Linked DNA regions of Rattus norvegicus. The protein of the gene in region 6 interacts with the protein of the main gene of each other region in a pairwise test. Links are inferred from orthologs where the notes say so. Each region holds a gene or a part of one and is shown on either strand. Other genes may lie near its edges. The genes, in order: Pax6, Pom121, Pkn1, Usp2, Mos, Homer3 and Eif3d.

Region 1 (4,037 bases), on a different chromosome or scaffold from region 6:
GACGATGCAATTTCCCGGAGCGGAGCACTGTCACAAAGTGACAAGGCTGCCACAAGCGCCCCGACTGATCTTTTCAATTAGCCTTCCATGCATGATCCGGAGCGACTTCCGCCTATTTCCAGAAATTAAGCTCAAACTTGACGTGCAGCTAGTTTTATTTTAAAGACAAATGTCAGAGAGGCTCATCATATTTCCCCCCTCTTCTATATTTGGAGCTTATTTATTGCTAAGAAGCACAGGCTCCTGGAGTCAATTTATCAGGAGGCTCCAAGGAGAAGAGAGGAGAAGAGAGGAGAGAAGAGAGGAGCTGAGAACCACATTTCCTGAGAGGGCTTCTGTCTAGACACGGGGCTGCAGGTTGGAGATGTCTGAGGAAGTGGAAAGAGGGGACTGGCTTTATTTTTATTCCTGTGGTTTCTGAGGAGGATAATTCATGGAGGCGCTCCTTCCCTCTCGCCCTAAGTCTCTACGACCAGACAATGGGAAGAGGTTGTGAGACAAGAGTGGAAGGAAGGACCGACCGGTGACACTGTGATGTGGTCTTTTTCTGTTTTGGGTTTCTGTTAATATTTGTATCCTTGGCTGAGGGGGAGGGTGGAGTTCAGCAGGGGAAGTAAAGCGAGTAGTGGCGGGTGGGAAGGCTCCTGGCTTCTGAGCACGACTTGGGGGCAGGCAGATCACTGTGTGAGTTGGGGTTCCAACCCTATTCCTGCTATGGAGGTATGGATTGGGAGTCACTAGCGACAAATTTATCTTTCTGGCTCTTTTACACACACACGTACACACACACACACACACACACACACACACACTCACACACACACTATGCTGTGTGCTGTGCACCTCTGCCAGAGTTAAATCACCATGCTAAGGTTTTATAACATTCTGCCTGGCCGTGCAGGGCTTGGGATTTGCAGCACTATTCTAACACTGCAGAGACTTCTGTGTGGACTCTGGTGACACTCAGAGGTGATGTAGGAAGGAGACTTTAAAAGCTTGATGTTTACCCCTTGTGGGTTCCAAGAAGGGCTGGGAGAGCTTATGAAGGTGGCAGTGGGCTCAGGGAACTACTGTGGTGATGGTGGTACTGGGTGGGTATATTCCTGGGTATTCTCCTGGGTCTGACAACAGTCCAATGGGTAGGTCAATTGTATTTGAAGCTGGGCTCCCCAGTACCCTGCATGGTTGGTGGTTCTGTTGTTGGGTGTTTTTGTTTTTGTTTTTTAAACCAGGACCTAATTGCTAAGGTTCACACAGGTTGGCAGGGAGCTGAGGTTGCATTGTGGTCTTTTCTTCCTTCCTTCCTTCCTTCCTTCCTTCCTTTTCTTCTTCTTCTTCTTCTTCTTCTTCTTCTTCTTCTTCTTCTTCTTCTTCTTCTTCTTCTTCTTCTTCTTCTTCTTCTTCTTTCTTCTCCTTCTCCTCCTCCTCCTCCTCTTCCTCTTCCTCCTCTTCCTCCTCCTTCTCCTCCTCTTCTGCTCTCCTCTCCTCCTCCTTTCCTCAGGTCACAGCGGAGTGAATCAGCTTGGTGGTGTCTTTGTCAACGGGCGGCCACTGCCGGACTCCACCCGGCAGAAGATCGTAGAGCTAGCTCACAGCGGGGCCCGGCCGTGCGACATTTCCCGAATTCTGCAGGTGATCCTCCCGTGGCTGCCCTACTTGCAGCTCCCTACCCACCCTACCCCGCCCCTCGTCCCGTGGTCCTCCACTCTAAGCGTCCTCTCTTCATTTCTTACTGTAAACACTACTAATTATGGACCAACCCACCCTCACCTAGTCCATCCCCACCAACTTCCCTACCTTCTAGCTTCCCCTCTCCTTCCGCCACGGTCCCTATCTCTTTCAACCTCAGTCAGTTATGTAAGATAATTCATCTGCGTAAGAAAAAGAATGTGAGTGAATTAAAAAACTACATCTTTTCATTTGGTAAGGACATTCATTGTGGTAACAGTGTATAAACTGTAATGAGCTGAGTTATATAAACTGGGATAATTTCATTCCCCTCTCCCCATCCCGTGCTAACCTCAGATTTTAGAGATTTGTCTGCATCCACCATGCTTGTGAAGAATGTATATGGATTTTCAGAGGCAAATGCTATCTATTCCTAATTCACATTTGCTCAGTTGGGCAAAATTTTAAGGGAAAAAAAATTCGATTATTTTCCCTTTGTTCTTTAAAATCTAATACTGCTTTAAGCAAGGTCAGCACAAAAAAATTAACCTGACTTAGTTTTGATGCATCTTCACACAGTGTTTAGAAAAATAGTTTTTTTGAAAGCTTTTTAAAAAATAATTCCAAGTGTTTGAAAGTATCATCATATTTGTAGTTTTAGGGCTACAGATGTAATTTTTAAGGAAAAAAGCTCTCTATAGTAAGTTCTCGTACCATTGAAGGTATATTTTTGTGTTATAGACCCATGCAGATGCAAAAGTCCAGGTGCTGGACAGTGAAAACGTAAGCTTGTCATTGTTTAATGCATACTTAAACAATTTTATTTTTGTCTTGAAATTATTAATAATGTGGTTTTTTTGTCCAATTCCCCAATGCAGGTGTCCAACGGATGTGTGAGTAAAATTCTGGGCAGGTATTACGAGACTGGCTCCATCAGACCCAGGGCAATCGGAGGCAGTAAGCCAAGAGTGGCGACTCCAGAAGTTGTAAGCAAAATAGCCCAGTATAAACGGGAGTGCCCGTCCATCTTTGCTTGGGAAATCCGAGACAGATTACTCTCCGAGGGGGTCTGTACCAACGACAATATACCCAGTGTAAGTTCATTGTGAACACTGTCTCCCACGCACCAAGCTCCTCACTCTCTCCCCATCTCTGGCACTTCTTTATCTCCTCCGGCTTTTCTCTCCCAATGCCTTATCATCTCTCTTCCTCTCTTCCCTGATTTGCATGGGTCTCCAGGGTACCTGGGGATATGGAGAGGTGGGCTTTACCTTTTTGACCATCTGGAAAATGGGAGTCAAGGGTGGGGAGTAGTTCACTTCATTTGTGTACCACAAACCAGGGGTCAAAGGAATTAGGGAAAGGCACTTGAATCAAGGAGGAAAATGAAAATGAAAATGGAAACCAGATTCTAAATTCCCCTCAAAGCACCTTCCTGAAGCTTCTTTCAGGCAACATGCATCCATTTCTGCTCTATGATAAAGTAAATCTCTAAATTAAGTTGAAATCTTTTATCATGGAGTCTTTCATCAAAACCAAGCAGCCCGGTGAGCTGTCGTTAGTGATGTTCTACAGAGGTGAAAGGCTGCTCCTTCCTTTTTATCCAATTTCATTTCCAGGAATAATATGATAGCTGTCATTCTTTCCACAATATAGCTAAAAATCCACGGACTGTCCCAGGATGGCTGGGAGCTTTTGCATATGTCATTCTTTAAAGCTTGGGAGAGCTGAGATGGGGACCTAAGATTGGGTGACTATGTCCTTAGGAGACACCACCATTTGGTTTGATTTGCAGGTGTCATCAATAAACAGAGTTCTTCGCAACCTGGCTAGCGAAAAGCAACAGATGGGCGCAGACGGCATGTATGATAAACTAAGGATGCTGAACGGACAGACCGGAAGCTGGGGCACCCGCCCTGGTTGGTATCCCGGGACGTCAGTACCAGGGCAACCCACGCAAGGTAAAACTCAAGCAGCTACCTTCCCGAAGTGGTTTCCTCCTCTGGGCTCCTACTGCTTAGGAGATGAAAGGGGTTACTATCCTTGAAGGCTTAGGTACCCCAAGTCACACTTTGTAATTGTTGTTTGTGACACCATCTTGTTGATGGGACTGTAAGGATTATGTGTGTTAAGGGTTGTATGAAGTAGTTAGGAGGTTGTGCGCATGTAAGGTTGAACCTAGTGGTGCCTTATTCAAATTTGACACTAAGATACAGTAGAGTACACTCGCAGTACAAGTGGGACAACTTAACACACACACACACACACACACACACACAGAGAGAGAGAGAGAGAGAGAGAGAGAGAGAGAGAGAGACTGTAAAGTAAACATAATTGTATTATTTGCTTTTGAAGTAATTGACAGTTAT
Region 2 (4,774 bases), on a different chromosome or scaffold from region 6:
AAGCCCTTGTTACCAAGCTTCTCCATGGTTCATACTGGAGATGGGCCCCTTATATCTTCATGGTAGTCACCAACACTTACTCTGATTCCCCTGGGAAGGAGTTACACTCTACTGAGACCGCCTATTACCTTCTCTTGTTTTCCTGGCCATCAAGATGCAGCTGGTCTTCCTCTGCCACTGTCCTTTTCTTCTTTTCCTTGAGGGCATTCAGCACCGTCTCCTTTGCACAAGGGTCTGGGGCATTACTTGATGGTGAAGACAGTGTGGTGCTGAGTATCTGCTCCGGCCTATAATGAGAGAGAAGATTCTGGAGACAGGCTATTTTAACTACCATGCATGTACAGAACAGAATCCAGAAGCTAACCAACAAGCAAGGCCTTGACTACCATGACTACTAAGTCAGGAATGGTGGCTTGTGCCTTTAATCCCAACAGTAAGAGGCAGGAGGATCATCCTGAGTTTTGGGACAGCTTGAGCTACTCAATTTCAGGCCAGCCTGGTCTGTGAATATGCGCATACGTGTGCTTGTGAGTACGTGCACATTGGAGAGTGACAGAGTTGCACAATCACAAGGACTGAAGATCAGATCCAGGACCCATACAACCATCCAGGGATCCTGCATACCCCATAAACGCAGCTCCAAAGGAAAAAGGACAACTGGGGCTGGAACAGCTAGACTGAAACAGGAGCCTCAGGTTCAGAGAAACTCTGGCTTCAAAGGAAAAATCTGAGGGCAATGAAAGAGTCCTAAGGCCTTCTTCTGGTCTCCACACAGGTACAGGTGCTTACGTGCACACACAAGTTTGTACACACACACAGGTACTCACATTGGTGATCGAAATAGCTTGCTATCTGGAGGGGCAATCCTCACTGTCACTGGGCTGCACACCATCCTCGAGTTCCGTGCAGATAGCACGGCTTTCTTATGGCCACCATTCCAGCATACGGTTGGAAGTGCCCCCAGCAAGGAATACTGGGCTTGCTGAATGGGATATCGTCTTCGGGGTGTTATAACAAACCGACTGGATAAAGGCCCACAATCTCTGTGGAGAACAGGACAGAGACACGTGCTGGAGCCACAGTCTTAATACCAAACTCAACTGACTGCAGAAACAAGAGGCAATAACACTTCTTTTCCAGAGAGTATCAACCTCTCTCTTTCCATTTTTATCTTATTTTTTGACAGTGGTGGTAATGACACCCAGGGGTGTGTGCATGCTAGACAAAGCGCTCGGTGACACTAACAGCTTAAACTTTCCTTTTTCTCAAGCAACAGGGAACGTAGCATTTTTATGGCAAATTTCTCCCATTTCATCCGAAAGCAGGAAGTATCAGTTGCTTAATGGTTGTCTCTACTGTGGACTTCACCAAATTAAGAGGGAAACTGAAAAATACTCAAGTTAATAAAAAAAACAAAAACAAAAAACAAGAACATCAACGATTAACATAAAAAAAAAAAAAAAAAAAAAAAAGAGGGAAACTGAAAACCTTGCCCACACAGGTACTTTGGAAGAAAAGCACATGCAGTTGGTGTGTGTAGGAATAGTTTTTTTTCCTCCCCCTAACTTGTGTTTGAAATATACAATACACAGCAAAAACCAAACATTAACGGGTATTCATCAACTCAACTAGGCACACTTATCAAGGACAGTGAAATGACTTAAGCTGGCTGCCAAGTCTAATGACCTGAGACCAATCTCAAACTCACATGGAAGGAGAAAAATGACTCCAGCAAGCTGTCCTCTGATCTCTACATGCATATGCAATTTAAAAATAAAAATGCTTTTATCCAGAATCTAGGCTGAGTGTAGTGGAGCACACCTGTAATCCCAGCACTTAGTAGGTGGAGGCAGTAGGGTCAGCAGTCCAAAGTCACCCTCACCTACAGAGTGAGTTCAAGGGACAGATCAAGCTATATGAGATCCTGTCTCAAAAACAAAACAAAACAACAACAACAAAAAAACCCCAAAGACTAGGGAATGGGTTGAGTGCTTGCCTGCCAGCTATGATTCGATCCCAGCACAGCATACAACCTGGTGCAAACCTGTAATCCTGTCCGTGAACTCACCCAGAAGATGGAGGCAGGAGGATGAGTTCAAGGCCAGACTCAGCCAAAGAAAGGGTTTGTGACCAGTCAGCCTATGCCACCAAACACCCTACCTTAAAAAAGAAAAAGGAGGAAAAAAAAAAAAAGAGTAAAGAGAAAGGAGAGTAATGGAAAAAGAGAGAAAGGGAGTAAGGATAAAAAGAAAGGGAAAAGGCAAAGTAAAGAAAAAGGGAAGGTAAGTTAAATCAGATTCTAGGTTTAATCCTCTGCCGCAGAGACCCACCCTGGGAAGACAGCCAGGGCTTACCGGTGGGGCGGCCTCCGAGAAGGTCGCAAAAGTGGGGTGGGGAGCGCGGGGTAGACGTGGTGGACTCGCTGGGCCGTCGAAGACGACGGCGGGGACCGTGAGGGTGGGCGGCGCCCTGGCCTGTCTCTAGGGTCCTGCGGGAGGGCAGGCTCCGGCGGGCCTGGCTTGCCCAGGTAGCTGCCCATGAGTAAGAGTTCAGCGGGGTCGGGGCCTCCAAGCGGGCTGCGGGGTTCGCAGAGGCTACCGTTGACTGGCGACTTGGCTGGAAGCGGTGAAGCGGTGAGCGCGGGCCGCGGGTGACGGCGCGACTCGCGCACGAACGACGACAGGCCCCTCGGGCCGCGGGGTTCTCGGCTCAGGCCCCACCAGGCCGCGCTCGCCCCCACGGCCAGCCAGGCCAGCGCGGCCGCCGCGGGCACTAGGTAGAGCGCGAGGCCGAGCAGCGCTAGGCCCAGTGCCGCGGCACCCGCTGGTCCTCCGCAGCCGCGGGTCCGGCCCCGGCCTTCCCGTACGCCCAACGGAGGCCGCCGCCGCTCGCCTCCGTCAGCCGCCGCAGCCGCCGGAGACATCGCGGCTCCGCGCCGCGGAGCGGACTTAAATATCCCAGGATACACCGCGCCGCGCGCCGCCGCCTACGTCACTGTCCTCGACGCGGCGCGCCGGGTGAAAAGGGGAACTGCCGCAGCGTGCGGAGCGAGGCGCGAGAGCGTATTTTGAAAAATACAGTTTGGATAGGCGTATTGGTGCAGGCTTTTACTCTCAGAACGCAGGGGGCAGAGGCAGGAGGATTTCTGTGAGTTTGAGCCCAGCCTGGTTCACAAAGAGAATTACAGAGCGGCATAGAGACATAAATCCTGTCTCAAAACAGCAAAAACTAAAAAATAAGAAAGAAAAAAAAATATAGCCCGTCTGACAGCCGGTTTGGACGCTTGAGGTTTCCCTGACGCTCCCGGACTGCGGAAGAGTGGTGGTAGAAATCAAGGCACAGAGCCAAGATTGGTGGCACATTAATGTAATCCCGGCATTTGGAAGGTGAAGGCAGGAGGATCCCCAGTTCTAAGTCAACATGGGCTACTTAGTGAGACTCCTCTCTGCCTCAAAACAAAACCCGATCAATCAAACCCTACGTGGAAGCTCACTGTTAATCCCAGAGGTCAGTTCCAGGCCAGCTGGAACTACACAGTGAGACCCTGTCAAAATAATTTTTTAAAATATTTATGTATGTGAGCACACTGTAGCTGTCTACAGACACAAGAAGAGGACATCAGATTCCATTACAGGTGGTTGTGAGCCACCATGTGGTTGCTGGGAATCGAACTCAGGACCTCTGGAAGAGCAGTCAGCGCTCTTAACCGCTGAGCCATCTCTCCAGCCCCAATAAATAATTTTTTCCCCCCAGAGCTGAGGACCGAACCCAGGGCCTTGTGCTTGCTAGGCAAGCACTCTACCACTGAGCTAAATCCCCAACCCCAATAAATAATTTTTTAAATGTGTGTTTTGCCTGAATATATGCTGGGATTACATTTGCACGCCACCACATCTGACTTACTCTTTTGTGTATGTACGTGTGTATGCATGCATGGAGGTTGAAAATCAACAGCAGTGTCTTTCTCAATTACACTCGACCTTATTTTTTTTGACACAGGGTCTCTCACTGAACCCAGATATCATTAACTGGCTAGGCTGGCTGGTCAGAAAACAAAAACAAAAAAATCTTTGTGTCTACCTCTGTGTTTGGGATTACAGGGACTCCCTGCTGTGCCCAGGTAAGCTTGCTCAGCAAGTGCTGTACCAATCTTCCTAGTCTGTGTTTTTTTCTTTCCCTTTTCTTCCTTTTTTTTTTTTTTTTTTTTAAGATTATACATTGAAAGCTGTTCCTCCACAATCAAGAGCAAGATAAGACTAGACAGGGGGAGGGAAGGCTAAGATGGAGGGATGGCTAGATAGAGAAGCAGGAGAGGCAGGGGTTAGAGTTCAGAGACAATGCACATTGTTAATAAATACTAGCTGAACTGATTAATGACAACGAGCACTGGTTATAATCAAGAAACAGGGTGGTCCTGCTCAGGACCGATTTTCTTAGTTTCTGAGGTCTAATCCAGTAGGGCTTTGTTGTGTAGCTGCCACTAGAGGGCAGTCCCAGGCTTGTCCATAAAAGGCACATGCCCACAACCTTGCCTGTCAGCTCTGGTCTTATGCTGTGGTTCTCTTTTATGATCTTTTGGTGTTTTGCCTCTGTGAAGGTGCCAGACCCCTGCAAGTGGAGTTATAGATAGATGTAAGTGATCATGTGGGTGCTGGAATTGAACCCAGGTCCTCTAAAAAGGCAGCCAGTACTCTTAACTCCTAAACCATCTCTCCAGCATGTTCTGGTTCTCAACCTTCCTAATGCTTCAACCGTTTTAATACAGTTCTTTATG
Region 3 (4,768 bases), on a different chromosome or scaffold from region 6:
CAGAGCTACACAGCGAGTCCCTGTCTCAATTAAAAAAAAATTAGAGGGCTGGAGAGATGGCTCAGCGGTTAAGAGCACTGACTGCTCTTTCAGAGGTCCTGAGTTCAATTCCCAGCAACCACATGGTGGCTCACAACCATCTGTATTGGGATCCAAAGCTCTCCTCTGGTGTGTCTGAAGATAGCTACAGTGTACTTATATACAAGAAATTAAAAAAAAAATTAGTAGACTGAACATGGTCAAGCTATCTGTGACAGAGGAGAGAATAGCAGGGTATAGAATAGAGAAAAAAAATTAGAGAAGGGGGCATGACACAGGTCCACAGGCAGCAAGAGAGAAGTCCAAGATTGACACTAGCCGGGAAGAAGCCCACGTCCACCACACCTCGCAGCAGTGAGCCACCATCACAGTAAGTGATGTTCTCCTAGGCTCGTAAGCCCTTCTGGAGGGAAGATGAGGGTGCAGGCCAAGAACACAGATCCTGTGACCCTGTCATCTCCTCACTGTGTACCTGAGCAGTAGTCACCACAGGGAAAAACTGAGGCTCAAAGAGGCCATAGCTGTGCTCTCAGTGAAGCTGGGGTTGCCTTCTCCTCCCCTCTAGAAACACATGTCAATGTCTGAGGTCATTCTTGTTGTCATTACAACCAAAGTATAGAGGGGGCACCTGTCAAATGTCACCATCCTGAGGGGCACAGGATAGCCCCCCACCACCAAATGATCCAGGCACAAAGGCCATTGCTGGGGCCTTGGAGAGGGACATGGGCTCCCAGCTTAGACTGCCAAGCTCCATGTTCAAAGTAAAGATGTCACAGAAGCACAGGACTGGCTGCAGCCCCACCTCTCTCCCCATAACCATCATCTCCACCCTCACCCCCACCCTAAGGGTTTCTCTGAGTTGCCCTGGATGTCCTGGAACTCTATAGACCAGGCTGACCTCAAACTCAGAGACCTGCCTGCCTCTGCCTCCCACACGAAGGTGTGTGCCACCACCACCGCCAGACCCTCGTCACTATTCTTAACCCATTGCCTCCTCCGAAACAGATACAAGACTCAGTAAGGCGAAGGCAGTTGACCCAAGAACTCATCAGGGAAGGCAGCATTGGTATTTAAACCCGGCCTCACTGAGCAACACTCTGACATAACCAGGCCCCACCCACTGTCACCCACCAGTGCCCCAAACCCAGCAGGCAAAGCAGGTACACAGCCAAGAGCAGGGCCAGCTCAAGCATTCGAGCAGAGGAAAGGTGAAGGCCCCACCTCCAGCAGAGAAGGCCTGAGAATATGAAAAGCATGCAGGGAGGGAGGCAGGGCCTCCTTGTCCTCCTCCCCTGGGTGAGTCACTTCTGCCCAGGGACAAGGAGTCACTTGAGGGCAGCAGGGCAAACGCCTGACCTGGTCTTGAGGAATTAAGAGTGTCAGCTTCTCCACCTGCCATTACAGATCTGGAGACACCAGACCAAGAACTGTCACCATGGGGGAAACCCTCTTGGCAAAGTGGCTAGGAACCCAAAACCCCATTTCCTGAGATTTCAATGCCTGGGGCGTTTCCAGAATCTAGACAGGACATCCGTTTGCCAGACACAGAACACACAGACATGGAGCTGGTGGAACAGGGCAGCAAGTCCAAGCGGGAATGAACATATGGGAGAAGACCAGAACAGGAACAAGATGTAGGTCCTGCCTCATTCTGGGAATCGCAGCCTCCATATGTGTCCTATGTGGGACACACCAAGCACATGCATGTACTGGGAGAGCCCTACACAGCCCTCAGTGGGTCTGAAGGGGAGCTGGCACCGGTGCATCAGCCTGGAGGTCTGACCTTGTGAGATCGGCAGCACCAGATACGCCCAGCTCCTCGGCAAGGCCGGCAGGCCATCAGCAGGACTGGGGAAGAGGGGTACAGGAGGGTACAGGGGAGACATGGGGGCAGGTGTAGAAGGAGATGAGAACTGGTTACACAGGACAATGGACTGCATGGTGAAGAACTAATGGAGCCACGAAGATACAAAGACCTCAGATTTGGGCCACTGAATTAGAGGGTGAGAAGTCAGTCACCCCGACCTTGCTTCCTCTTGGGAAGGTGAGTTCAGTAACACCCAACAGGTCACACAGGGAAGGCTATGTGGCTGGCAGATGCCAGTCACAGGTGTCTGTTGCGGGGGGGGGGGGGGGAGTAGCCCTGTCACCTTCCAGACATAAAATCCTTCCTGTCTGTGTGACAGGACACGCCCCACCTGGGTTACAGCTCCATCTGTCAGCCTGAAGGGTGGTTACGGGGAACAGGGCGGAAGGAGGAACCCTGCCTCAGGCCTAATGAAGTGACTTAAGATACTTCCTCCAACAGGTGCCCATCTGGGTGGCGTCAAGACCATCGTAAAGACGTCTGCAGGCGGAGGTGGCCCGGGCTTTGTTGTGCGGGGGAGGGGATCGGGCCGGGCACTCCTCCGGTCCGCGGCAGGGTGCCAGGCACCTGCTCCAGGTGAAGCGGCACCTGCCAGAAACCGAACGCTGAGGACCCAGAGTAGGGCGTGGGGACGAGAGGCACCGGGACCCGCAGCTGGCCTCGGACACCGAAGTGGGGACCCCGCTGCACCCGCTGACTCTCGGGGAGGGCCGGAAGAGGGGATGCAGTGGTAGAATCCCGAACAGCACCCCTTCCTCCAACCAGGTCGGCGCCTCCACCTGCTACAAGGGCCTGCGCGGGCTCCGGATGGGGACCTCGTCTCGGATTCTACCCGTGCCTGGGGTCCTCCGCGCCGTCCGGCCGCTCCGCGGGTAGCCTACCTGCACGGCGTCGCCGGCCATGTCCGCCAGGGGTCCCAGCGCCGAGGGAGGGCTTGCGAGCGCGTCGGCGTGTGGGGCGGGAAGCGCGGAGCCCAGACCTTCCCTGGCGCGCTGCGCGATCCGGCCTGCTGCGCTCGGCCCGGCCTGGCCAGGCCTCCGCCGAGCTGCGCCCTCGGGCCCCAGCGGCTGCAGGATGGGTCACGTGAGCGCCGAGGTCCGCGCCTGGGGAGGAGGCGGGGCGGGGGCGGGGGCGGGGCTCCCGGCGGCCCCCGGGGCTTGCAGCGGGGAGTGGGATCTCTGTTCGCTGTGCTGCGTGGCAAGCGCTCCTCATAGCGTAGGGGGACTCTGAACAGGCCTGAGCGGCCGCGAGTCTCACGAACCTTGTCCCCCACCTCGGACCCCTCTGAAAGCAAAAGTCACGATCCACCTCCCTACACACACCGCCTAGCTGCATAGAGGCATCCATCCTCCCATTTACCCGTAGGCAAGCACAGGGAGAGCCTGACTTCAACTCAAATGCCTGTGTCCTGGGCCTTGGGGGACCACCGTACCTCTTAGGACAAGGATGGCTGTAAAACTTAATGAGGAAGAGTAGGGCAAGTGTACAGACCCCCAAGTGAGCAATAAACGCTAGTGGCTGTCACTTTTAGCTTATTGTTTTAAAGACTCTATTTTGATTCATGTGTGTTAGAAATAAGTTCCGGGATGGCAAAGGAAGAAGCCACCCTTCAAAATGAAATGTCCGAACAAGGCAAACTTTACTCTTCATCAAAACAGTGTGCTGCGGAAAAGCTAAGAGAAGACAGGAAGTGCATTTGGTTTCTATTCTAACTCAGGTGACCTCGCACTCTTATTCAATTGGCTAGTCTGAAAAAAATTTGGCGCAGAGGAAATTGAGGAGGAAAGGGGTCACTGCTCTAAGCAATCAATTTTCTAGAATGGAGTAGGGTGGCCTTTGTGATGCGGGGAGAATTAAAACATCTCCTTAAAAGTCCTACAAGGTAGGGGAGAGAACGATTTTTTTTTTTTTTTTTGTTCTTTTTTTTGGAGCTGGGGACCGAACCCAGGGCCTTGCGCTTCCTAGGTAAGCGCTCTACCACTGAGCTAAATCCCCAGCCCCCGAGAACGATTTTTTTAACAACTGTCCAAAACACAAGTTGTATACTATTTGCTAGGAAAGACTCATATTTGATTTCTCACATGTGTATATATGTGTTTCTTTGTGGGAGTTATGAAACATGTGTGGGGATCCTCTGGACGTCAGAAAAGGACATGGGATCCCCTAAAATGAAGTTATAAAGCCAGACTTGGTTTTCTACAAGAGCAGTATACTCTAAATACCCAGCCATCTCTTCCATTCCTGTTTTAATCTTTACACTATTTATTGTGTGTGTTCACGTGCATATACACGCACATCCAAGGCAAATGTGTGGTGGTCAGTGAGTAACTTACAAGACCACTTTTCTTCTGCACTCTATCATTAGGGGGTGGGGTGGTTCACCTTCCCTAAGCCCTGAACAGGGCCAGCACACCATCCCTGAACTATCAGGATTACAGTAGAAGCCTCTTCCTTGTCCCTCAGCCTCCTCCTCCTCCTTACATTCTCTTCCCCAAACCACAGACCAACAGGGCCTAAGTCTAGACATTTCCAGGAGGAGCCCCTCTGTCATCTGCTGCCCCTGCTCTCTCCACATCTGTGTTCATTCACGGCTTCAACAAGTTGACATCCGCATTCTACCTCAAAGGTTTGTGGAGGGAATAAAATAACTTGCCACACCAGACATCCAACTTCCTTTTTGCCGATTGATAAAAGAGAGACGCCCCTTGCTTTCATAATCAAGCCATGATGTTCATAGTCCCTTGCATAATAGGCAAGGAACCCACCCATCTTACAGATGAGGAGGGCACGGACTTGGCAGGGAGAAAGCCTTGCCTGGGGCCCTGCCTGCCAGGTTCTGGGCCGCCTCTGGGGAGGAGGCTT
Region 4 (4,789 bases), on a different chromosome or scaffold from region 6:
CAGAACTGGCAAGTTCAGGCATGTGGCTGCTGGCTGCACCTCCCCAGGGGCCTGCCACCTTGGACAACGGTGGCGGTGGTGGTGGTAGTTCCTACTCTTGCCTTTTTTTTTTTTTTTTTTAACAGAGATTTTGATGTCTCCCTTCTCTCTGAGAGTCTCCATCGCTTTGCAAAGTTTCCCCACAGAAACTGGCATGGTGGCATCATTTTGCACAGATGCACTTGGCTTCCTCTTGGGACAACGGAGCCATGCAGCTAAGGCTCCCAGCCAACTGGTCCCACACACCTACAGACCAGGCATAGAACTCACTGAGGACCTTGAATGCAGCTTTTGACTTTGTCTGCCAGATAGCCTCATCCTGTATGTACTTGGTCCTCCCTAGCCTTCCTGGCAGTGTCCTTAAGTGTAGAGGTCCTGAAAATCTCAAGGCAGACGAAAGCTTGAACTTTTTTAGATGCATACATTCTCAGGTTTAAGAAACATAATTGCAAAGGCTATATTGTTTGCGTTAAATGAAAACGAAAAAAAATTCGTATTTTTAAATGTACAAGAAATTTAAATAGTGCCTTGTTTTGCTTTTGTTTTTGTTTTTTTGGACGAGTCTAGGCTGACCTCAAAGTCTCTGTCTTGTCTCATATCCCAAGAGCTGGGATTGTTAAGTATGAGCCCCTAAGAGTGAAACTTAAGTAAAGTTTTATTGTCCATATTTCAGATCTTTTTTTTTTTTTTTTGGGTTCTTTTTTTCGGAGCTGGGGACCGAACCCAGGGCCTTGCGCTTCCTAGGTAAGCGCTCTACCACTGAGCTAAATCCCCAGCCCCCGATATTTCAGATCTTAACATTTAAAGATGCACCGACTAGGGCTCTAGCACACTAACTCAGTTCCCCCGGCAGCTTTAAGCGGTCATGCTATCAATGCGTCTATTTGTGGGTAAGGAAACAGTTCTTTTTTTTTTTTTTTTTTTTTTTTTCCGGAGCTGGGGACTGAACCCAGGGCCTTGTGCTTGCTAGGCAAGCGCTCTACCACTGAGCCAAATCCCCAACCCGAATCAGTTCTTTCTGCAAGTCATGTGGACCCTCTCCCGCTGTCAGGCTGCTGCAGTTGTCTCTGCTGGGTGGGAACTGAGCTCTGTTCACTGCAGCTACCCTGAAGCCATCCATCCCCTGTCCTGAAAGCAGGGCCATGGGCCTGTGAAGTCAAAGGAGGACCCCTCCAGGATGCCCACGCCTATTTATCCCGCTAGGAGAGAAGGCTGCTTGCGGGAGCAGCCCCTGGATTTTCCACTGTAAGTGAATGAAAATGAAGCCTGGTGTAACCTGAGCTGCAGCACAATACTGATCGAGGGAGAGATGGTGATCGAGGCCTCTATTTCATCCTCTCTGCCAAGCCCTGTGTGTCCCCTGGTACTGGCATCTACCCCAGCACAGGCTTCTGGGCCCCAGCTTGGTGGCAGACATATCCCTGAGCCTCCTTCCCACGGCTGCAGTTTAGCCCACTCCCCAAAGTACCCACACTAGGTGAGTCAGGGGTTGAAACGAACCCTGTTCCCTTGAGGCAACCAACCACCTGGCATCAAGTCACTGTCATCAGTCACTGTCATTTCCTGTAGCTCACGTGAAGGGCTCCCTAACCTGCCCAGCTGGAGGAGGGACTTAAGCCTCAAGAATCCCAGACACTCCTGGCCCTGGAGGCAGAGGACTGGTGATACACCACCTCTTAGCAGATTCATGCCCCTTTCTGTCCCGATGGGCTCATCTTTCTGAGGCATAGGCCTAGCCACATCTGTGGCTTTGTCACTGCCCTCACTTACGTCCTCTACCCTACAAGACACTTCATGGACACACCTAAAACACCACTAAGTCCCTTTCTTCCTACCCAGATGTTCAGGGCAGGTCAGCAGGGAGACCCAGTCAGTCTCACTAGGTGCTCGGGAACCTCCGCAGTAGTGACCTCAGAGCTTCCCAAAGCTGCCTGCTAATTGTATCAGAATGTGCTGACTGAGGACTAAGAGGGGGATAGACACCCTGTCACACCTATGACCCTTCCTCCTTGCTGCTTGGATCCCTTGCTAGACTCTCTGGCCACAAGTGTCCACCCTGACAGAGTGGAGAAAATGGCAAGAGCTGTACATTTACATTATACCATCGGCTCCTCTCAGGCCTCTTGAGCCCTGAGCCTGACCCTCTGACCTGTTGCTAGCACTGCTCTCTATCAGATGCTTGCAGCAACCCACCTACTTTTATCACAGAATCCTCTCGCTTTGGGGAGGGGAGGTCCTGTAAAGGAATTTGTGCAGGTCTCCATTTCTCTTGCACTTTGGAGGTGCCCAGAACTTGGGGAGGGGATGGGAGTTGAAGAGGTAAAGTGAAGAGATCAGAGATGAGAGAGATCAGGACAAGTATCCTGGCTTGTGGAGAGGTGGGTGGGCCTAGGGGGGGATCACACAGGGTGTTTTTCGATTTGGGGTTGGGATGGATAGATATCTCTACAAGTCCAAGAAAAGGCAAAGAAACAGGCTTCCTAGAAGCAGAAGGTATCTTGTGATTTTCTTCTTCACCCCCTTTGCTCAAGTACCCCTCCTAGTGCTCCCTGCCCTGGAGAGAGTCTCACCCCCCCACCTTTAGGGCTTCAGTTGTCCTCTGTCCCCATATCTTGAGGAGCATTTGGGTTTGGTTACAACGCTCACCAAGTCCAGCGGGCAGCCTCTCAAATGCTCTCCCGAACTCAATGAGGCTTTACTTAGCCATACTTGAAGCTCTGACACCAAAGAGAGGGCTACTGACCTGTGTCCGGGGGCACTGGATGGGATCTGGGGGCTTCTTTCCTCGCAGGGAAAAGACGGCTGTTGTAGAGTCTAGAAGCTGGAGTCTGACTGGGGCTGGGTAATCCGGAGCTCAGGTTACGCTAGCTAGATATATATAGTATCTTATCTGACCTCGCCGAGATGGCAACTCACTTGCATTCCAGGCCCCAGGAGAATTAAAGGGGCAGTGACAAGCCCACCTTCCACCCAATGCCTAGTGACTGGGTGGAAGCAGAGAATGAGCCAGAATCCTGGGAATACTTGGAAATAACAGGAAGGATCAGGGGTCAGAGCAGAGGGCTGGGGATGAGTCTGAGTCCCAGACATGGAGAAGGTGGATTCTCTAGTGCTGTCCGTCACAAGTTGAGCGAACACGAAGAGGCCAAACTGCTAACCCAGCTGCTGGTGTTTTAAGATAGGGAGGACCGGGGTTGGGGATTTAGCTCAGTGGTAGAGCGCTTGCCTAGCAAGCTCAAGGCCCTGGGTTCGGTCCCCAGCTCTGAAAAAAAAAAAAAAAAAAAAAAAAAAAAAGAAAAGGAAAAAAAAGATAGGGAGGACCTAGCTCCTCTCTGGACACGGGCAGAGAAGAGTGGCTGGGACCAGCCCTTGGTTTTCAGTCCACTACTGTTTTTACAGTGGACTTCTAGGTCTAGGCCTGAATTCTTATTCTTTCCCTTCATGGATCTAAGATAACTTCTGAGGATACTTAAGTCTCTGAATCTTAGCTATGTAGTTTGTAAAACTGAATCATAGAGCTAGTATGGTGGCGCATGCCTTTTATCCCCAGCACTTGGGAGACAGAAGCAGGCAGATCTCTGAGTTCAAGGACAGCCTGGTCTACAAAGCAGACAGCCAGGGCAACACAATGAAACTCTGTCTCAAAACCAAACCAAACCAAACCAAACCAAACCAAACCAAAGGAAACCAAAAAAACCCAACCAAACAAATGCACACAAAGGAGAAACTCAAAGGAACAAATAAACAAAAACCATGAATAATAAGGTGTGATTACATCTCACAAGGATAAGGATAAAACAATAGTTTTAAGCTTCCTCAAACAGAGCCAGGGTTCAATAACGCCAGGCTTATTGGCCATGTCCATTCATCTATTCATTACTAATGGCAGTTGTAGCAGACAACCCTTAATAGAAGATAAAGGCTTTGGGCTACCCCCCGGGATTGCGACACCAGACACCAGCCCTGTGGTTTTCTGAACTAGTCCACATCTCCCAAATGGAAAAGTCAGACAGATTTTGCCACTTTCCCAAGGCGACAGGCCACACTCCTTTCCCCTTTGTTCAGAAAAAAAAATTATATATATATATATATATATATATATATATATATATATATATATATATATATATAAATCAAGTGTGGCTTCTCTGGGCTGCCAGGAGAATGCTTGGCTCCAGAGGGGCAGTTCCAGTCTACCTGTTGGAGGGCTCAGGCTTCCGGGGTATCAAGGGCAGGCTGGCCAGGGTCATGACAGGAGGGCCTCTCTGGCCTCGGTGCACCTGTCTGCTCCCAAGATGATTTCTTCTGTTTCTTGATGGCTCTCCCTGGAGACTGGAAGGCCCCGGGGCTGGTGCCTCCACCCTGTCTCAGCACACGGTACTGACTCAGACTGGGTCCTGGTGATGCACTTTAGAGGACGCCCTCATTCCAATCCTCATTCCAGAGCAGCATGCATCTACAGCATCAAAGAGTAGGGGACACCCCCACCCCAGCTCTTCCACCAGTTCTCCATGCCTCTTGTTTTGTGGTTGGGAAGCCCTACTAGGATCTTCAACTCTATTCTCAAAAGCTCTGGAGTTAAGAGCTAGGAGCTCTCTCTCCTCAGAAGAGCTAGAAGCAGTTGACCAGGACTCCTCTTGGTAAGTTGCATTTCAGAGAATATTGCATGGCTGTTTTTGCTTTGGGATTGGTGAGAATTTCAAAGTTGCCTCTTTCTGATTTGGGATTGGTGGAAAAATTTTCCCTTCCG
Region 5 (3,798 bases), on a different chromosome or scaffold from region 6:
ACTGGAAAGGAAAGCAACCATTTTTTGGTTTGTTTTGTGTTTTTCTTCGACAGTGTTTCTCTTTGTAGCCCAGGCTATGCAGTAGTAACCTGTAGTCTTGGAACTCACCTTGTAGATCAGGTTGGCCTTGAACTCAAGAGATCAGAGCTCCAACTGCCTCTACTTCCTGTGTGCTGGTATTAAAGCTATGCTCCATTTCTGCTGCTAACAACTGCTCTTTTAAAACGCATTGGTTTTGCTGTTTTGTTGCAGTAAATTCAACTGCAGCTTGAATTTAGATGTGTGTCTGTGTGTTGTGGGGGAGATGTGGCCTGTGAGAATTAACAGGGGGCAAATGTGGCATGTCTATAGTGGTATTCTTTTTTGGAAAAATATTCTTTATCAGTAACTGTTAGTTTTCAAACCCAGGACGAAGGGCTGAGGTACCTATTTAACATATCGAAGTGGACCTGCTGCCAGGTTCTCCCTGCATCCCTCAGTCCCTGTCTACTACAGAGTGCTCCAGACTGGCACGCCCCACCCTCTGCCCTAAACTTCTCCAACCCAGGGACTGGGCTGCCCTTTCCCCAGCTGTCCTTTCTTATATAATCCATTTTAGCTCCCCCTCCCGTTTTGAATCTTCCAGCTGCTGTACCTACTTCTGTCTTCCTTCCCCCTTCTCCTCCTACTACTTCTCACATGGCTCAGGAACATGTCCGCTCTGGGCTTTCTCAGCCAGATGTCCATGTCTATGACTATGTCCTATGTCTCCCTCGTATCCGCAATAAACTTTCTCCTTCATTCCTAGGAGTAGTGCCCCCTCCTCCCACCCCCTTTCTCTTTTCATTCAGGAACAAACCTTACTACGGAAATGATACAGTAGACCCAGAAAGGTGACACACAAAGGGCTCAGGTTGTTTAACAACCGTGAGTGGTGCCCATGATATCTGTACCCTCGTTAGTCTTAGGAAAGGCACTTCAGGCTGAAGTTTGTAGTAACTTTATTTTCTAAAAATATGCCCTAAAAGCCCATCCTTACTTATTTAAAAATAAACAGAAACGAAAAGCTTATCTGCACACAGGCTCGATGGAGTCAGCCCAGTGCCCCTCGGAAAGCCTTCAGGTCCTTCTGGAGCAGTTCTGCACCCGGCCTCTGCAGGGCGCGGGCCTCCCAGCAGCTCTGGACGATGTTCTGCAGCGTCTTCCCAGTCAGGGAGGCGGTGAACACCGCCCCTGCCAGTGACGGGCGCAGATTGTAGGCTACCACTGCGTACTGCACGTACTGAGGCTCGCCGGAGTAAGGCACCTCCCTGGTGGTCATCTGCCACAGGGTGATGCCAAAAGAGTAGATGTCGGCTTTGGGCGTGGCGATCTCTCCTTTCAGGAGCTCCGGAGCTTGGTGCGTGTACGTGCCCCCGATGTGGTGAAGGGACGCCTGCCGGCACCGCAGATCCTGAAGCTTCTGGGAGCAGCCGAAGTCACTTATCTTACAAACGTCCTTCTCACTGATCAAAATGTTCGCTGGCTTCAGGTCCAAGTGCAAAATGCTTTGTGAGTGGAGAAAAAGCAGGCCGTTAACAATATCTAGGGAATACTTGAGGCACTTTCCCAAACTCAGTTGCTCTCTGCAGCTGAGAGGCTCTGGGGAGCGGGTGGCACCGTAGATGACTTGGTGTAGAGTCACATTGCCCCCAAACTCCATGATTATGGTACCAAGGCTGTTGGAACCTTCCGGCGTGCGCGTGCTGGCAGCCACAACCCGGACTATGTTGTCGTGGTGCAGCCTTGCAATGTTCAGTTCAGCCCAGAAACTCCGCTGGGATGCACGTAGGTTCCTGGTGCACTTGTTCACTTGCTTGATGGCCACAGGAACACCGTGGTAAGTGGCTTTGTACACCGAGCCAAACCCTCCAGAACCCAGCCTATGCAGCAGGCATACCTGTCCCCAGTCTATGAAGCACCAGGCCAGCCGGCGTGACAGCCGCGGGGCCCGAGGAGGAGTGGCCCCCAGGAACTTCCCCGCCTTCCTCGAGGCCACCAAGGGGCTGCTGCAGGACCTCGAGTCCACCGTTGGCGACAGCTCGCGAGGGAGGTAGCGACACAGGATGAGAGGCGAAGGCATTACACCCTCAGATGGGACAGTCACAAGAGACGCTAGAGAGAAATGACCAGGAACACCCAGGGAAGTTTGGAAGCATGGCTGAAGGTTTCCGCCTTCATCCCATTTCCCTTCTTCTTGTATTCTCAAAACCAGCCACAACTGTGCTCTCACGTCTTGCTGCTCAGCAAGGTTGGTTTTTTGTTTTTTTGTTTTGTTTTTTTTTTTATCAGGTGGGGTTGGGCGTGCAGATGAAGCCTGGCAGTCTCAGATGAAACGATTGCTCTCTCACAGCTAAAGTGAATCCTTAGCAAAACAACCTCTCACCTGTTAAACAGTACTGGCCTGCCCCAAAGCTCACCTCTCCTTCCAACTAATTCTTGAATCATAATACAATGAAAAAACATTTCAAGGACCTTCTGACGATCATTAATTGGTCCTTAGACTGAAGAGAAAAGCAAAAGTACAGTGAACTTGGTGCACACTTTTCAGGCTATAATGATTGTTCGTGCTAGTCTCCAGCTGCATTAAATCAGTCCCAGCAGCTATTGGCTGCAAGAGTTGCAGTACAAACAGCAGACACTTGTTGAACTACTTGGCAGGGTTATTAGATGCAACCTTCATAAGAATTAACATCTGTAATTTTAATGTCTTTGATCCAAATACAATCTCGGATAGAAGGCAGAACTCGTACCTCCTAAGTCCATCAGAAGGGAGCAATCTGACACTGTATTTCATTTAAACAGCAAGTTAAGACTCCTTAACAACACACTGACTTCTACCGTCCCTTCCTTTCCCAGGCAAGTTAGGTCACAGAGCAAGCTTGCTTCAAGACAGATTCTAGACTTCACAGCAAACAAGTTCCTGGAATTTAACGCAGAGTTGGAAGGAGGAAGAAAGGGACAAAGGTGATTGTGATGACCATAGCTGAAAATAACAGCAATCATGGAGAAACAGGAGAAAAGCCAGGACAGACATGCCCAGAGTCACTGGTCCCCATCAGATACTGAACATAAATTCAGGGTCTGGCCGTCAAACCACACATTCGTCGTTTTTGGTTTTATAATAATGTGTTTGCTTTTCATGCCCTATCTTCCGGGGAGTAGGGAAGAACAACAACCTTGCTCTGTTCATTCAAAAACGGTTTCTCAAAGTGGTTAGGAGTTACACTTTCTAGCCACGCAGGAACGTGTTTTTGTGCACATGGTGATAAGTGGTCAGTGTTTATGTGGCAGCTGTGTCCTTCTGACCTCAGAATCACAGATTTTGAGAAGGCAAGTTGATAACAGAGAGCCATTTATATAAAAAACTCAAAGTTCACAAAACTCCAGGTTTCTGCTTAATGGTGATGATATGGTTTAGTGTCATCTTGCACAGAGTATATAATTGTTACAGCCTCGATGCTTTATGTAATAAATTAAGAAAGTAAACATTTAGGGAGAATAAAAGTTGAGTAGTTTCAAATATATTAAGGGACAAAATGTTAAACACGTAAACAGTGGAACATTTTAATAGAACCCCCATTTTGTACATGTATATCAAACCCAACTGAAAAAGGAAAACAGTGAGCGTGACAAAATTTAAGAGCACTGAAATTACTCTGCAAATTTGCTCAGCCATCACACAGATAAAATTACAGTTCAGGACTATGACCTGTGGATTTGAGGAGCTTTAAGAGTAATATGATAGGTCACCTTGAACCTCTGGGTATCACACAAAAT
Region 6 (2,982 bases):
CTGCAGCCACCTGGGCCTCCAGCTCAGCCACCTGCACACATGCAGCTCAGTGGCCCTACCGTCCTCTGGGACACCCAGGGCCTGCTGGCCCATATGAAGCTCTCACAGCTTCAAGTCATTTTACAGCAAGAAACGGGACCTCTGGGGACTGATCCAGGGCAGAAGGGGTGTGGGGGTGCAGCTGTCCTCACCCGCTGCCGCAAGTGTTCAGCCTCTGCACGCTGGACCTCCAGCTGCTGCCTCCACTGAGTGGCGGCCGCGTTGGCCTCTCGAAGGGCCCCTGCCAGCCTCTGGTTGCTGTCCTGAAGTGCAAAGAACTCAGCCTCCCACTGGACCTCCCCTACGGAGCTGTGGAGAAGACACTGGGCTGGGGGTGTGCATGGTCAGGACAAGCAGCATCTGGTGCAGGGCATCCTGGACTAAGCAGGGCCAAAGCAACACTAAGCCAAGGAGTGGGACCATGAAATTGTGACAGGTGTTGTGGCTCATGAGAGGCTGAGAGACAGGCGGAACTGCTTAAGAATGATGTCAGCCTAGACTATAATGAGTTCTGGGCTACATATTGGGACCCTACCTCCAAAAATGTTGAAAACATATCCCTGCCCTCCAGATTGGTCAGGGGCCCGGTCAAAGGAGATGGAGGTGCAAATGAGGAAAGTGCAGCCTGCTTTCCAGATGAAGCAGGAGCCTATTGCTTCCTCCTCTCCCAGGTCTGCAGGCCAGATTCTTACACCCCCAACCCCTACCCAGCTTCATCTGCAGCAGACCAGTCCACCATGGGTCTCACCTCGATGCCCACGTCCATCCCAATGCCCACGCCCCTTAATACCTGCCAGGACCCTGACTCTAGAACACCATCCTAATAGTCTGTCCTGCGGATGCCCCGCCCTAGCACACCCCTGGTACCAGCTACACTCCCTTAATGACATTTAAGACCCTGACACTAGAAACACCATGCCTTGCCAGCCAAAAGTTCAGTCTGGACACAAGACACCCCTTAGGCCCCAGCTAGGCCCAACCTGGCTTCAAGCAGGCTCGGCCAACCACACCCCTCACCCTTCTGACAGCATCTTCTTCAACCGCTCCCGCTCAGTGGGGCCAGGGGCGTCCGCGCTCTGGCTGCGGAACAGCTTCTCTTCTGGACCATTGGTGCTGACCAAGGGGCTTGGAGGAACCTGTGCATGGGAGCCAGGACGGGGTCACAGTGAGCACTTGCTTCAGCCAAGGACTCGGTAGGAAGTAAGGGTGATTGAAGCAAGGACTGAGGTCAGGGCATCTGAACTGACCATGATGACCAGTACTCCTTCCTCACCCTCCATAGCTCCTTGGAGCCTCAGGATGGGGGATCCTGTCCCTCACCTGCCTGGGCCTTCACTAACTCCTCAGGGCCAAATGGAAACAACCTACAGAAAGAGGAATCCAAACACTTGGAGCTGCTCTCCTCCAGGTAAGTTGAGGCACGAGCCAGCAGGAGGGCTCATAGGTAAAGGAGCCGGTCACCAAGCCTGATGCCCTGCTGAGAAGAAAACTGACTCCCACGAGTTGTCCTTGGAGTCCCACCCAGGCACATGCACATTTGTGTATGCACACAGACATAAATGCAGTAAGGCCACCAGCCACCCTTGGACACTAGCACAGTGCATGGACCCTGAGATCAGAAGCATATATAGCTGCCTCAGGGGTGTGGTAGTCACCGGGTACTATAGACATGGGGTGTAGGAACACCTACCTGGTGGGAGGCCATGGCCAGGGCAGTACTAGTGAGTTCTCCACCATCTTGAGATTTCTCCCGAGCCAGTCTGGCAGCTTCTTTGACCTCCTGAAACTTCTCAGCAAACTGGGGGTGAGGGAGGGGGATAGTCAGAAAGCATTTCCCACATCTCCCATCATACCTCCCATCACCCCAACCTGTACCTGCCCTGTCACCCTGGGGCCTTTGGGAAGAGTCAACCCTGTGAGCCTCTTGGGTGTCAGAATGACACACAGAGGGAGGGGGTTTGGTGAATTCCAGAGGTGACATTAAAAAGTTCTGAACCACGCCACACAGAAAGGGACTCTGTTCCTGTCAGGCTGATTGGCCAGCCTGAGGCTAGCTGCCCATCTGTCCTTCAAACATGCCAGTATGTCATAACACAGGGACAACATCCACAGCCAGTGGGAGCCCCTTCTCCTAAATTCCTCAGCTGACAACTAACGAACGCTGGTTCTGTGGTTACAGTGATGTGTCTTCTTTTCACTTTAACGTAACTTTTGTTTATTAAAGAGAACACATGAGGACCGGAGCCACGCTCTGCGGTCATGAGGGCAGGCTGATGTAGAGAAGCCACCTCAGGTCACACACCACTGCAGGCAGCTCTCACACGCCTGCCTGTGACTCCAGCTGCAGGGATCCAACGGCCCCTGCTGGTCTTGGGGGGCATCCGCACACACACACACACACAGGCACGAACACGCGTGCACATAAAAACAGTTTTTAAAAAGTAAATGAAGGTTGGGGATTTAGCTCAGTGGTAGAGCGCTTGCCTAGCAAGCACAAGGCCCTGGGTTCGGTCCCCAGCTCCGGAAAAAAAATAAAATAAAATAAAATAAAGTCAGGCATGAGTGGCGCACACCTTCAATCCCAGCAGTCAGGAGGCAGAGGCAGGAGGATCTCAGAGTTTGGTGCAATCCTGACTCAGTAAGCTTGCTGCAGGCCCAATGATAATAAGGTTGGTCCTTGGAGCCTCCATGGGAGGAGGGAACTGACACAGCACACATGCACACACACAGGCACAACACAGAAATAATTCAATATAATAAAAACTTTTAAAAGAAAACTTGTTTTTATTACTGTTGATTGTGTGGGTGTACATATGTGTAAGTGCCCCCAGAAACCAGAGTCCTTAAATTCCCCTCCAAGGACTTACAGAAGGTAATGAGTCACCAAGTGGGTGCTGGGAATTGAACTCTCGTCTGCACAAGCAGCCCTTCACCATAGAGGCA
Region 7 (3,427 bases), on a different chromosome or scaffold from region 6:
TTTCACTCTGAGTCAGGGCTGCTTCAAGTTGAGATTCTCAGAAACTACAACACCCAAGGATGAAGCCCAACATCCTTCGCTGACTTATTTAAGTTCAGTTATGTTGCTGAAACCTACCTCTTTAGGAAGGTTCCAACCCTGATGCTTACCTACACAGCTCTGCTCCCACTCATACCCCAGTCCTGAGGGGCAGGCAAGAATACTTGGGCAATTACCTGGGTGGGACAATTACTAGTGTTCAAAAAAGCACGCAGTCCACAGAGCCTTTAAACACGCTATGTGACACATTGCTTTGTGCAGACTGGTTTGAGGCTTTCCCATCCCAGGTCAACCTTGTAAGTAACTAAAATCACCACCCAGCAGACTGAAGAGGTCTTCCTCAAGGACCACCTCCCAGCCATGCCCTGCCCTTGGTGATAACTTCTAAGGCACACCTAGGTCATGCTAGGAAGACATCGTAGTTCAAACTTCCTAATACCAGCACACTTTAATAGTTTCTCATATTGTGACCCCAACCATGAAATTATTTTCATTGCTACTTTGTAACTGTGATTATTATTGCTAACAAATCACAACATGTTTTCTGATGGTCCTAGGCAACCTCTGTGAAAAGGTTATTCAACCCCCAAGGGGTCACAACCCACAGGTTGAGAACCACTGGGTAACAGGACTTTTTGTGAGGGCTCTTCCCCCATAATGCATCTCAAATTGCATGAAAGGGCCTGTCATGGGTTCTGAAACTAACACTCAAGGCCTTCACCCTCCACAGGGAATGCAGTTCTCAGTGCCCCAGCTGAGATGGAACTACTCAGCAGCAGCCAGGCCACACAAACTTCTGGCTCTGGTCTCCCTTTCCCAGGGGCTGCTGGGAGAAGGAAGGGCTGCAGATCACAATGGGAGCACAGGACAAAGGAAGAAACCAAAAGGACTTAAATTTTATTTCTTCTGCTAGAGAACAGGAGCTGGACACACGCTGCCCAGGCACAGCTAGGTGCTAACACACGCAGGCACCAGGCCAACTCACTTAAGTTTCTTCCTCTGAAAGAAAAACAACAAAGAGAAATGAGCTTCACCCCATGATGCCACACACCCTTTCCTTCTGGACCTTGAAGAAACCTGAGTGCTGAAGGCCTCCTCTTTGCTGAGCCCTCCTAACCTCTGCAACTTTCTGTAGCTACCAGGGAGGCTTTTCAGGTGGTCTATCTGACCATAAAGCCTTGGATCCTCTCGAAACTGCCCAGGCCTTCTCTTAATGTTCTCCTTGCCCTCTTTCTGATCTGACTGCCACCCCACAAAAAGTTCCAGGAAGTTCTCATGTGTTGCCAAGGTGAAGGTGACCACAGAGCTAGCCTGGCTCCCTCACCAGCCCTCAAACCACCCAGGCTTAGAGGCCCACTCTGCCCACCTTCTTCTTCTTCCTCCTCTTCCTCCTCATCCTCTTCGTCCTCCTCAGAGCTGAAGGTGCCATCAGGCAAGCTGTAGACTCGGATGACCTGCTTGTTGGGGTCCTTGAGGATGAGGTATTTGCCCTCCTCCAGCTTCATGCAGATATCAATGACACAGCGCAGGATGCCCCAGGCATTCTCCACACTCAGGTTGATTTGGCTGGCAAACTCATTGGGCTTAAACTGCTGGGTGCCCAGGATGACGTGGCGCGAGGAGTCCTTTACATGGTACCGGGACACATACCTATTTGGGAGGAGGATGGGTGGTCACACTAGGCCATACAGAGAGACGGCAAAGCCTGGGGTCAGTACCGTGGTAATGCATGGTCTGCTCTTTTCCCAAAGTAGAGGAGGGACGAGCAGCCTTTGATCCAGGCCTGCCCCAGCATTTGCACAGGAGTCTCACCCGAGCTTCAAGTACTCAGAGCCAGCCAGCAAAGCACAGCACGTCCATCGCGCCAACTTGTAGCTGTTGTTCTTCAACTCAGTGGCGATGACAGCCCCACGCTGAGAGTCCAGCTTCTGACGCCAGTCAACGCCATTACAATGCTGCAGAAGAAAGCTGGTTACTGGGTGAGGGTGGCACCTCCCACGGGACCCCAGGGTTTCCTACAGAAGACACGGGACCACTAGGAAGGGAAGAGTATGCCAGAGTCAGAGGTACAGTGGTGACCACCCATCTTTGTACAGCAGCCCCTCAACCAGATGGTGATGGGTGACCCGGCACAACTCAGTGGCAAGGGTGCTGTGTGGTAAAAAGGGGCTTCACAGTAAACACAGAGAAGGATGGTCAGAACTGAGAGGCAGGTAGGCCAGCCTGAGGTAGGGCCAAGAAGGGCACAGGTAGGTGTTGCCTCTGTACAGGATAAAGAATACTGGTAAGGACAGCTCTGAGGCTCAGGCAGCCTGTGATGACTGGGCAGGAAGAGCCCAGCACCTGATGCTTTCTTCACAGGCATACCGACTTCCAGATGTGGGGAGTGGGGCAGTCCAAGGTCGTAAGGCAGACAAAGTAATAAGGCAGGGAGTCCCCACCATTCCAAGAACAGCATCTAACCGACTCTGATTCCCTTAAAATTTGTGAGAGAACCGTGATACTGAAGAGCTCTGACACCATCTTGGGGACAATTACACACAGAACTGAATGGAATAGTGGTCAGGCAGATGAGATACCAAATGACAGGCTCAGGAAGAGAGACTCCCTTAGCAGACTCCCAAATGGAGTAAGAAAATAAGGAAAAAGCACCGGCATGAGATGGGAGCTGCCTGGGTTCCTGGACTGCAATGAGCAGGAGCTTATAATTAACACCGGGTCAGGGCGAGGACTCAAGAGCAAAGGGGGGTCTGAACGCTGGCAAGGAACAGGGACTTCAGCTAGACCACTGAAAGGACCTGACCTCTGCAAGATCCAGAATGAACTCCCAGTGGACTTTCCAATGGAACACACTCCATTCTACAGTCATGGTCACTGCCACCCACGACACCGCAACAGAGAATGAAACCATAACAGGCTGAATGCCTGCTCACTAAACTCCAGTTGTGGGTGCTGTTTTAAGCCATTAAGTTTCTTGTCATGTGTTTGTGAGGCAAGAGAACACTGAAGTATAAAGTACTCTGGGACATAAGCTGCATGGGGAATTTACCCTAAGGGTCCACCAGGGCAAACCCCACGCTTGAGTGGGGCAGGGGTGTGTGGAAACACAGATACCACAGGAGAAGTCTAGAAGGCCACTGGCCCCAAGACAATGGCTCCCTAAGCCGTATCTTGATAGCAAGCAATCATCACAGGCTGCCTGGACCTCAGCCTACCCTTTCTCTATTCCGTACAGAGGCAACACCTACCCGTGCCCTTCACTTTAATTCAGGGCACCACACACAGAGCCAGGGAGAAAGGACGTCGCCTGACCTTAAGGTCCTGCAGCACTGGAAATGGATAACGCAAAGAGGACTGTGTGTGCGTGTCTGTCCAGATCTTAGTCTTT

Evidence for each region.
Region 1: the proteins of Homer3 (region 6) and Pax6 interact in binary tests that used the Homo sapiens proteins (3 or more experiments, as listed by UniProt). The link is inferred for Rattus norvegicus from reciprocal best matches to the Homo sapiens genes HOMER3 and PAX6.
Region 2: the proteins of Homer3 (region 6) and Pom121 interact in binary tests that used the Homo sapiens proteins (3 or more experiments, as listed by UniProt). The two-hybrid records come from large-scale screens. The link is inferred for Rattus norvegicus from reciprocal best matches to the Homo sapiens genes HOMER3 and POM121.
Region 3: the proteins of Homer3 (region 6) and Pkn1 interact in binary tests that used the Homo sapiens proteins (3 or more experiments, as listed by UniProt). The two-hybrid records come from large-scale screens. The link is inferred for Rattus norvegicus from reciprocal best matches to the Homo sapiens genes HOMER3 and PKN1.
Region 4: the proteins of Homer3 (region 6) and Usp2 interact in binary tests that used the Homo sapiens proteins (3 or more experiments, as listed by UniProt). The two-hybrid records come from large-scale screens. The link is inferred for Rattus norvegicus from reciprocal best matches to the Homo sapiens genes HOMER3 and USP2.
Region 5: the proteins of Homer3 (region 6) and Mos interact in binary tests that used the Homo sapiens proteins (3 or more experiments, as listed by UniProt). The two-hybrid records come from large-scale screens. The link is inferred for Rattus norvegicus from reciprocal best matches to the Homo sapiens genes HOMER3 and MOS.
Region 7: the proteins of Homer3 (region 6) and Eif3d interact in binary tests that used the Homo sapiens proteins (3 or more experiments, as listed by UniProt). The two-hybrid records come from large-scale screens. The link is inferred for Rattus norvegicus from reciprocal best matches to the Homo sapiens genes HOMER3 and EIF3D.

What each region holds. Positions count from the first base shown.
Region 1 is NC_086021.1:112,596,903-112,600,939, forward strand, and holds part of Pax6 (paired box protein Pax-6), read left to right. Parts: intron 1-1,501; coding exon 1,502-1,632; intron 1,633-2,409; coding exon of another isoform or gene 2,410-2,451; intron 2,452-2,546; coding exon 2,547-2,762; intron 2,763-3,463; coding exon 3,464-3,629; intron 3,630-4,037. UniProt on the Homo sapiens protein: Transcription factor with important functions in the development of the eye, nose, central nervous system and pancreas. Required for the differentiation of pancreatic islet alpha cells.
Region 2 is NC_086030.1:26,911,667-26,916,440, reverse strand, and holds the start of Pom121 (nuclear envelope pore membrane protein POM 121), read right to left. Parts: upstream 2,929-4,774; 5' UTR 2,924-2,928; coding exon 2,355-2,923; intron 1,044-2,354; coding exon 828-1,043; intron 288-827; coding exon 129-287; intron 1-128. UniProt on the Homo sapiens protein: Essential component of the nuclear pore complex (NPC). The repeat-containing domain may be involved in anchoring components of the pore complex to the pore membrane. When overexpressed in cells induces the formation of cytoplasmic annulate lamellae (AL).
Region 3 is NC_086037.1:41,345,069-41,349,836, reverse strand, and holds the start of Pkn1 (serine/threonine-protein kinase N1), read right to left. Parts: upstream 2,983-4,768; 5' UTR 2,809-2,982; coding exon 2,788-2,808; exon of another isoform or gene 2,348-2,787; intron 2,084-2,347; exon of another isoform or gene 1-2,083. UniProt on the Homo sapiens protein: PKC-related serine/threonine-protein kinase involved in various processes such as regulation of the intermediate filaments of the actin cytoskeleton, cell migration, tumor cell invasion and transcription regulation.
Region 4 is NC_086026.1:53,308,947-53,313,735, reverse strand, and holds the start of Usp2 (ubiquitin carboxyl-terminal hydrolase 2), read right to left. Parts: upstream 2,867-4,789; 5' UTR 2,783-2,866; exon of another isoform or gene 1-2,782. UniProt on the Homo sapiens protein: Hydrolase that deubiquitinates polyubiquitinated target proteins such as MDM2, MDM4 and CCND1. Isoform 1 and isoform 4 possess both ubiquitin-specific peptidase and isopeptidase activities.
Region 5 is NC_086023.1:21,656,586-21,660,383, forward strand, and holds Mos (proto-oncogene serine/threonine-protein kinase mos), read right to left. Parts: upstream 2,272-3,798; 5' UTR 2,102-2,271; coding exon 1,073-2,101; 3' UTR 964-1,072; downstream 1-963.
Region 6 is NC_086034.1:19,168,888-19,171,869, forward strand, and holds part of Homer3 (homer protein homolog 3), read right to left. Parts: intron 1,838-2,982; coding exon 1,730-1,837; intron 1,176-1,729; coding exon 1,057-1,175; intron 349-1,056; coding exon 192-348; intron 32-191; coding exon 1-31. UniProt on the Homo sapiens protein: Postsynaptic density scaffolding protein. Binds and cross-links cytoplasmic regions of GRM1, GRM5, ITPR1, DNM3, RYR1, RYR2, SHANK1 and SHANK3.
Region 7 is NC_086025.1:111,419,436-111,422,862, forward strand, and holds the end of Eif3d (eukaryotic translation initiation factor 3 subunit D), read right to left. Parts: intron 1,995-3,427; coding exon 1,852-1,994; intron 1,690-1,851; coding exon 1,406-1,689; intron 1,039-1,405; coding exon 1,025-1,038; 3' UTR 916-1,024; downstream 1-915. UniProt on the Homo sapiens protein: mRNA cap-binding component of the eukaryotic translation initiation factor 3 (eIF-3) complex, a complex required for several steps in the initiation of protein synthesis of a specialized repertoire of mRNAs.